Schizosaccharomyces pombe: one gene and its partner. The protein of the gene in region 2 interacts with the protein of the main gene of each other region in a biochemical or structural test. Each region holds a gene or a part of one and is shown on either strand. Other genes may lie near its edges.

Region 1 (4,454 bases), on a different chromosome or scaffold from region 2:
CTTCTTTTAATCACTTCAATGCTGCCGGCCATCCCACTGGTAACATTACCCCTACTTTGAATTCCCCTAATAACGGCATTCATTGTCATTCTACTTCTGCCCTAGACTTATTGTTTCATCGCGATCGTGAACAGCGCTTGTTCCGTATGCTGCGTCAAGGAAGTGCATAGTTTCATTGGATGCTTATTTATGTCTAAGGACATATCACCTTTTTAAGCCTCGTGTTCTGTTCTAACTATTCCACTTTTTTGTTTCACCTTCTTTCGTCTCCGCGTTTATCTACACGTGTTCGTTGTAGCACTATTTATTTGAACATTGGCCAAGAGAATTTATCATAGTCTAGTATTTTTGCTAGTATTATGACTTTCTTACTATCACCCTATGTACCTCTGTCTTTCTGTTTTTTTGGATTATAGAATTTAGCTCTCTATATGGGTTAATTTTGTTTCCTTCGCTTTTGGTTTTTAGAGGATTTCATACAAAAGCTACTGAATTCCTTTTCTAACGGCTTATAGTTAAAAGAAATGCCAACGTTTTTAATGGATTTCTTGGATTTGAAATCTTGATTTTTATTGACTAGATTTCCTTAACTTCATCTTATTCCTTGTTAGTTAATTGAGCGAGCAATTCATTTATAATATGGAAATGTTCGTCAATGACTATTTATCGAAAATGTGCCTCGTTTACTTTTCGATTTGTATGCTTAGAATGGGCATTTGTTACCTTTTTTATGAGCGTTGGGTGTTATGATCTGCATATTGCATTAATTTTATTCTGGCTAGTTTTTATTATGCTATTAATAATCTCGTTGTGCTTTTATCGAGATTTGTTTGAAACTTGTTTCACCGGTCTCGTACATTTTTTTCTCTTGTGTTTTTTTCTTTTAATTTTCCTAATTATTACTGACGTGTTGCCTATTGCTTTGCGATGACAGTACATCTTATTTTCCTGTGTCGAGGATTATAGTTATAATCTTCTTTTCCTCTCATGAACTTGGCTTTGGTTGCCAACCTTTTAAACTTTCGTCCATGATATACATGATGTTTGCTAATATAAGTGATATTTATGTGGTCACCTTTTTTGGCGAATGTTGTAACCTATCTTCTACGCTCAAGGAGTACATGCAATGTGCTTTATGCTTTTTTTTTTTTGAATGTTTGCAATTTTCAAGCCCTCGGTTTTTGAGCTTTCATTGCTAGTCAAGATAGTCAACTTATCGTTGATTATAATATCTTTCACTCGCAAATCGTTTTTACGTAAAGACTGAATTACGGCAACATTTATTGCTCTTATTTGTAAATAGTTTTGGAATCATTTCTTTTTAAAACTTTAAATTTATCTCTTTCCTTCATTGTTTACAAATAATGTTGCATTAAGTGGTGATTTAGTTTTTCTAATATAAACACATATTTCCGTCACTGATGTGTCGCGTTTGTGTATTTATCCACCTGATATGTGCAACAGTATTAGAAGGCACGGTTTTTCTGTGTGTTGACGATACCTGTTTACACATTCCTTTTAATCCACTTCCTTTACTTCTTTTCCGTTTTTTTTTTATTTTTATTTTTATTTTTTTTTTTTTTGCTGAAGATGGACTTATATTACCTGCATTTTTTTAGTTAATATAGAATTCATTGAAAACAAATTTTCGGCGTGTGTAGATTTTTTATAATTTTTTTGTTGATTTAGATAAGTCATTGTTTTGTTCAGCTCAATGCGCGAGTGATATGTTTGGTTTTACACTTGTTGGTTTAAGCGGATCGTAAGTTCGTAAATATGCGTTATCTTGTTTAAGCAAGGTAGGTTAGATCTGATAGTTATTTGTAGCTACCACCAAAAGCAAATTTCTCAAGCCATTATTTTTTGTCGAAACCCAATATCTGGTAGACTAGCTTTTTCATCATTCATGCCTACTTATTCCAAAAGGAAGTCTAGAGGCTCTTTAGAGGTTTCTGAGAAAACCAATCAACCCAAATTCATAAAGAGAAGTCAATCGAGTGAAACAATAACGTCAGGTGAAACTGCTAGTGAATTGATGCAAGATGAAAAGGAGCAGAGTAATGGTGCAGTAGGTTCTATTGAAGATGAAGAATTACAACGACTTCGTGAGAATCAAGCTTCTGTTGAAGCTCTTTCGAAAAAGCCAGAGTCTATCGATCGAGAGTTGGGTGTTGAGGCTTTAGAAATAGATAATGTAGTAAAGTCAGATGAAGAAAAGGAGGATCCCAATGGTGCTTCTTCCAAAACCGTCAAAGCTCGTCCACTTCCTGCAGGGTCGGTTCATCGTGTTACTACCCATATGGCGCCAATACCAGCGAGGTCAATTGGTTCTCATGATACTACAACACAGCGTTTGATTGTCGTATTGGACCAAGCATGTTTGGAAATTTATAAAGTTGGCAAGGCTAAGGATGCAAAATATCAACTTCTAAATTGCGATGATCATCAAGGTATTTTAAAAAAGTTAAACCGTAACATTGCTCAAGCGCGTCCTGATATTACTCATCAATGCTTATTGACTCTTTTGGATTCTCCACTGAATAAGGCAGGTCGTCTTCAAGTGTACATTCACACAGCTAAGAAAGTTTTGATTGAAGTGAATCCCTCTGTTCGTATTCCTAGAACTTTCAAACGTTTTTCCGGTTTGATGGTGCAGCTTCTTCACAAGCTCTCTATTCGTAGTGTGAATGGCAATGAAAAGCTTCTAAAGGTGATCAAAAATCCAGTTACAGACTACCTTCCTCCGAACTGTCGAAAGGCAACATTATCTTTTGATGCTCCTACTGTTCCTCCTCGCAAGTATCTTGAGACTTTACAGCCCAACCAATCGGTTTGTATTGCAATTGGTGCTATGGCTCATGGTCCGGACGATTTTTCGGATGGTTGGGTTGACGAAAAAATCAGTATTAGTGACTACCCTCTGAGTGCAAGTATTGCTTGCTCTAAATTTCTTCATTCTATGGAAGACTTTCTAGGAATTGTATAATTATTAAGGTAAAAATTTTTGCATTGTCTTCATTGTTATTCAGCTTATATCCTGTGCTATAGATATTCACTTTTTGATATAGCTTGAATTTTTTGGTACGTTTCGTACTTTACATTTTCTTTAGAGAGTATTAGAATAAAATAACAACTATAATTCTAGCTTCTGCAATTACAAAAAGAAAGGAAACAATTTATCACACTACAAGGCATTGAATTAAACCATTCCATACACTTTTAAAGTTTGGGAATTACAACCTAAGACAAACTCTTAATACTCACCGATAAAATAATTCGGTAATATTGAATGACTCACAACACTATGAAGCTCAATATGAGAAATAGATGGATATTTGCTTAGAATTAGACAGATGATTAAACCAAATTATTCATAAATAAGCAATCCATTCGTTAAAAATTCCAAAACCTAAGTACATTCATACTAAATAGAGAAAATGATAAATAACAAAAAAGGTACAACTAAATGAAAGAAACGAAATAACAACCAGTAAATCACAAACACAACAAACTGAAAACAGTTCCTCAATTATGTTAGGAGCAATTTAAGGAAATTATCGTTTTCTCTCATTCCTCCACTTGTATACCGGTTTTCCGTTTACGACCTTCTTTTTCTGACGGCCTCCTTTTCCCTGTAAAAGTCTATCAAGCTCGACACGTTCTTCAGCAGCCGCCAATTTTTTGTCGCGTTTCTGGCGCAAAAGAAGCTCGGTCGCCGCCTTTTCTTTTAATTTTGAGTGCAATTTTCCAGAAAAAGGCTGGTTTGTCAGTTCATTGTTTTCAATTTGATCTTTCTTTACACGATTTTCGGTTCGACCAACCAGATCATCTGTAGTTTGGAAAAATTCAGCTGGGTTAAAACTTTTTGCCTCTTTAACATTGTCTACGAAGATGGTGTGCTTCCTGGATTCATTTTTATTCCGATGAGCTCCCACAGTATGCATTTGTTGTTCCAAATGATCAATTTTAGCACGTTCAACATTGCGATGATGCCGAATCCAGCCAATGTCTTGAGTTTTCAAAATTTTGATTGTGTCCATATCGATGGTTGAATCCTCGCGCTGTTCAAGGGGTACTCCATTTTTGGTCTTTTTGTGTGTCATTTCATGATAAAACTCATCAGGGTTTCTTTCAAGGGCTTTTTCACGAAGACGTTTTAACTTCTTTTGCTTTGTCTTATAATCCTGAGCACGCTGCGCATAATCCTTTCGTTTCTCTAGCAAACCCCATTTTCGTCTTTCAAAAGGCTGAGCTCTTTCTCGATGATTTTTCCTTTGACCTGCATTTTTAAAAGACGAAGACATCTTTAAAAAAGTTATGGTTAATGTTTGGCTGTTTGTCAAAGAACCGAATTATTGGCTTTTAGCAGATTCGCCTCTGCAAAATATTTGTGTTTAGGGCACTACAAGTGTTAGCGTGCAATGTGCTCAGGACGTTAAGATACGCTATTACCC
Region 2 (5,091 bases):
CTCCCTCACTTTGCAGTCCATGGGCTCGGAAAGGGTGTAATCTTTCTTATATATTTACGAAGAACTTCACTAGTGTTTTCCCTCTGTCGATCACTATTTTCGGGGTTTCGCCTGTTCATGCGAATTGCTACTCAACCACCTAATGTTGTACAGGTAAAATTTATTAATTGACATTTATTAGAGATATCGTTTGTTGTCTCCATAAACTCCTTTGAAGGCCTTTTTATAAGAATTAAGGAAACGTGCATTTAGATATGAGCGAAGATCCACAAAGTTGGTCGAAAGAGAGGAAAAATTGTGAGCGCGTAAAGCGCGCTTTAATGTCCCAATCTCCAGTAATTATTTTTTTAAAAACTGCCTTGGATCGTTTGAATTGCAACATTGAAGCTAAAGACATTTCTTGCCAGCCTTGTGATGCACAAAGTACTGGAGGTTACATTCCCGGTAAAGGGATAGTTCTGTGTGAAAACAGACTTTATACTAAAAAAATGGCAGAGAATACAATTGCCCATGAAATGATACACATGTTTGACGACCACAGGTTTGAAGTCGATTGGAACAATTTGAGACATCAGGCTTGTTCAGAAATTCGTGCTAGTAGTATGAGTGGTGAGTGTCGCTGGACCAAAGAACTTCGTTTTGGTAACATTAAAACTTTTCGGAAGCATCATCAAGAATGCGTCAAACGACGAGCTACTATCTCCGTACAAGGTAACCCGAATTGTAAAAGCAAAGAGCAAGCAGAAGCAATCGTTGAAGAAGTGTTCAATTCCTGTTTCAACGATTTCAGGCCTTTTGAAAAAAGTACGTTCGCTGTAGTTTTGTTCATTCATTTTTTTCTTCGTACTAACTATTCATTCTTTCGTCTAGTCTATTGAAATACCAGTTTACAAAAGTCAGATAGTTATTATGTCAACTCCCTTCCCCTCCCATTTTATAATATCCCGTACAGCATTTACGTTGGCTTTTAAAAAATATCGAAGCATACTTCTCACTTGTTATGCAACTTATTATGTGCTTGGCGTACTTTATCTTTATACATATTGTAACAGTTTTTTTGGAAGTTATTATTAGCTTGGCTAAAGTGATGATAAATTTTTAAATAGTTTTTATTAGGAAAATGAATGTCTTCTAAGTGATTTCGAAAAGAAAATCTGGAAAACGATTAGTTTATGGTGGTGATCCTCTATTAAATGAGTGTGTTATATTACATATAATTAAACCTCCATAACCCCCAAAGATCAAAAAAGTTCTGAAGGAATATAGTGAGCTGCGCGATTAAAAAGAGCGCTGAAACAAAAAGAAAGTAGTAATGCAAAAATGTAGTGAGAAGAAGGAAAAATTAAATAAAAAGTACCAAGATGGCGGTTAGGAAGATTCAGAACTTTTGCGAGTCCATGAATCTTTATATTTTACAATCCAAGGGTGCCTCATAACTTGTTCCAAACTCATTCTTTTTTCAGGATTATGCTGTAATAGACGAGAAATAAGATCCCGTGCATCAGGAGGAACAAAGCTTGGAATTTTTAAGTCAACTTTGGCGATACGCTTATACGTAGCTGAATGACCAGACATGTCCTCAAAAGGCGGTGCTCCCACCAAAAACTCATAAGTTAAGACACCCAACGACCAGAGATCAACTTTTTCGGTATGCTCTTTTCCCTCCACCATTTCAGGTGGTAAGTAATCTAATGTACCACATAAAGTGGTACGACGGTTAGAAGGTGCATGGACACTCCAACCAAAGTCAGAAAGCTTGATTTCTCCATCAATTCCTAATAAAATGTTCTCAGGTTTGATATCACGGTGTATTACATGCTTCTTATGCAAGTAGGATAAGGCGTTAGCCATTTGGAAGATATATTTAGACGCAACTTCTTCTGAGAATCGTTTTGCACGACGCAAGTGTTGATACAACTCACCCCTGCCAGCAAACTCTAAAATCAAATAAATCCTTTTTTCATCATGAAAGTGCCCATATAGCCGTAAAATGTTTTTATGGCGAAGATTTGATTGAATCTCAATTTCTCGTCGAACTTGCTTTTCTATCTTTGACTGGACAAGTTCAGACTTATGCAATGTTTTGAGAGCCACAATAAACCCGGTCTTCTTCTCTTTAGCTAGATATACCCTTCCAAACTTTCCTTTCCCTAAGGGTTTTCCAATTTCAAACATTCCAATATGAAATTCTCGCCATTGAGGACCAGCTGATGAAGGTACTCCAGCAATTGGCTCTTCTATCTTACGAAGGGAAGAATTGAACTTGCTATTTGAAGTCCGTTTGTTTTCCTTCCCATTTGCTAGACTAACATTATTTACTTGTCGTTGGTTTGATACTGCAAGTCGTAAAAGCTGTTGTCTCCCAGGATTAGCTGTGGTTGATGGAGTTGACACAGAAAGGCAATTCAAAGAATCTGCCAACTTTGAATCTGACATTATTTCGTAAAAAAACGCTGATGTTGGCTTTTGACAAGTTCGTCCAGAAGTAGGAGCGTTGTTGTTTACATTTTGAGGTAACACCATGTTTACTGAGTCTTAACACAGCCTGCTATTATCTTCCTTTCTTTCAAACTAAGAAGGAGGCTCTGATTCCCGTTGTTATTTATGAATACTCAAAGGGTGTTTCAAAGATTATTTACATGGAAATTATGAACGAATTTATTTAGCATACGAACCCACTTCGATTCTACAAATGTTATTAAAAAAAACGACATGTATCGTTCTCAACAAAATAAATAAAAGGAAAACAAACAGAATATTCTATATCATCCCAATACCACAGGCTTAAAAGTATATTTAGTATCTGTTTTTTATTCTTTTCAATGTGTCCACTGTTTGTTTACCGAATAACGATATACAGTGAACTATTCAATACTAGTTATAGAATACTTACAATATTAACGCTTCAGAAGGAGACAGTGCTAACTAACAAGAAAAGAAAAGAATTCAGTAAGTAGAGTAACACCAAAAGAAAAGGACCGAAAAGTGAATTAACAATTGTAGTTGATAATAAATTATCGTATTTCTCAATCAATTTAGAAAAGTACACGATAAAAAATCTCCGTCAGGGGGAATCGAACCCCCGCCGCATCGGTGAGAGCGATGAATCCTAGCCACTGGACCATGACGGATTATATAATTCTGCGATTGTTTTAGCATTAATTATCAGCTTTTTCATTCTTGATTAAGATTTCTCATAAAAAAAAAGAACTCTTTAGTAACGAGTTATATGCATAGTAATGTGAAAGTCAAAACACCGTTTGTTGGATATTTATTTCTAAACTGATTTAAGCTGCAGTCAAGTCCATTGCTGAGCAGATACAGTTTACAGAAATTAACGAGGCTTGGTTCAAACTATTGATATATTTAACCAATGCTGCATGACTGTTCATCACGCTAAAGGTAGAAAGACGTTACTATTCTGGCACTCAATGAGTCGAAACAATTGTTATACATGCATTTTCGTTATATTCTATGACACTCTTAACAGACTGTTTCTACATCTTGAAATTCTCACTATATAATGTTAACATTTATTACAGAGGAATACTACAAATAGTGATTAGCATTATACTCGCTATGCTACATGTCACTGTTTTATGAACTAGCAAGTTGGAGCTCCGTCCTGCTGTTTCATTTCCATTTGGTTCTAATTGTGTAAGTGTCTTTACAATTGTCGCCTATAAATTCGTTTCCGAGTTGGGCTCGCATTTTTTGACCTTCTTTTCATAGTAAAGATAAGATAGCGTTACAGTTGACGGTTCTCTCTATAAATGATCGAGAGCTCTGCTTGATTTGACATCTCTCATTGTCGTTAAATTCTTCAGTTTGCATTTTAAGACTGAATAGTTTACAGAATAAAAGGATATTTTCACTCTTTTTAAATTTTTAAAAAACTACGACAATGAGCGATAACCTGGTGCTTCCTACCTATGATGATGTTGCTTCAGCTAGTGAGCGAATTAAGAAATTCGCCAACAAAACCCCAGTACTCACGTCGAGCACAGTAAATAAAGAGTTTGTGGCAGAAGTGTTTTTTAAATGTGAAAATTTCCAAAAAATGGGTGCTTTCAAATTTCGCGGTGCCCTTAATGCTCTTTCTCAACTCAATGAAGCTCAACGTAAAGCTGGTGTTTTGACGTTTTCTTCTGGTAATCATGCTCAGGCCATTGCACTGTCGGCAAAGATCTTGGGAATTCCAGCAAAAATCATTATGCCACTCGATGCACCCGAAGCCAAGGTCGCTGCCACGAAAGGCTATGGTGGTCAAGTAATCATGTATGATAGATACAAAGATGATAGAGAAAAGATGGCCAAAGAAATTTCTGAAAGAGAAGGTCTTACCATTATCCCTCCTTACGATCACCCCCATGTACTTGCTGGTCAAGGAACCGCAGCTAAGGAACTGTTTGAAGAGGTTGGCCCTCTTGATGCACTTTTTGTTTGTCTCGGAGGCGGTGGCTTGCTTTCTGGATCAGCACTTGCTGCTCGCCATTTTGCTCCAAACTGCGAAGTTTATGGAGTTGAACCTGAAGCTGGAAACGATGGGCAACAGTCCTTTAGGAAAGGATCTATCGTACATATTGATACACCAAAAACTATAGCCGATGGTGCTCAAACTCAACATTTGGGTAACTACACGTTTTCCATTATAAAAGAAAAGGTCGATGATATATTGACTGTGTCCGACGAGGAACTAATTGACTGTCTTAAGTTTTATGCCGCACGTATGAAAATTGTAGTCGAACCCACTGGATGTCTTAGCTTTGCGGCAGCGCGCGCTATGAAGGAAAAGCTAAAGAATAAACGAATTGGTATCATTATAAGTGGAGGAAACGTAGACATTGAGCGTTATGCCCATTTCTTATCACAGTAATCATAATTATCATCTTTTTGATCAAATAAAAACCGTTATTTAACTGCTCTTACTTTTCGTGATGCTTACATGCTGCTAAATTATGGAAATGAGCCTATCTCGCAATTGATTGTTTGCGTATAATGAAGCAACATTTTGCGTTAGGAAAGGTATATAGAATTGAATGCTGGACAAAAAATTAATTCCTTTTACTTAATCTTTGAAAAATACCCTAG

Evidence for each region.
Region 1: of the proteins of ark1 (region 2) and mra1, one has a biochemical effect on the other in vitro, tested with the Schizosaccharomyces pombe proteins (one study listed by BioGRID).

The regions. Positions count from the first base shown.
Region 1 is NC_003424.3:2,228,865-2,233,318, reverse strand, and holds mra1 (rRNA (pseudouridine) methyltransferase Mra1), read left to right. Parts: upstream 1-1,865; 5' UTR 1,866-1,906; coding exon 1,907-2,986; 3' UTR 2,987-3,356; downstream 3,357-4,454. Other genes in the region: protein Edc1, read left to right, coding at 1-170; U3 snoRNP-associated protein Utp11, read right to left, coding at 3,555-4,304. UniProt on the Schizosaccharomyces pombe protein: S-adenosyl-L-methionine-dependent pseudouridine N(1)-methyltransferase that methylates the pseudouridine corresponding to position 1189 (Psi1189) in S.cerevisiae 18S rRNA.
Region 2 is NC_003421.2:139,007-144,097, reverse strand, and holds ark1 (Aurora-B kinase Ark1), read right to left. Parts: upstream 2,469-5,091; 5' UTR 2,437-2,468; coding exon 1,369-2,436; 3' UTR 1,060-1,368; downstream 1-1,059. Other genes in the region: peptidase Atp23, read left to right, coding at 255-804, 871-878; serine racemase Sry1, read left to right, coding at 3,905-4,876. UniProt on the Schizosaccharomyces pombe protein: Component of the chromosomal passenger complex (CPC), a complex that acts as a key regulator of chromosome segregation and cytokinesis.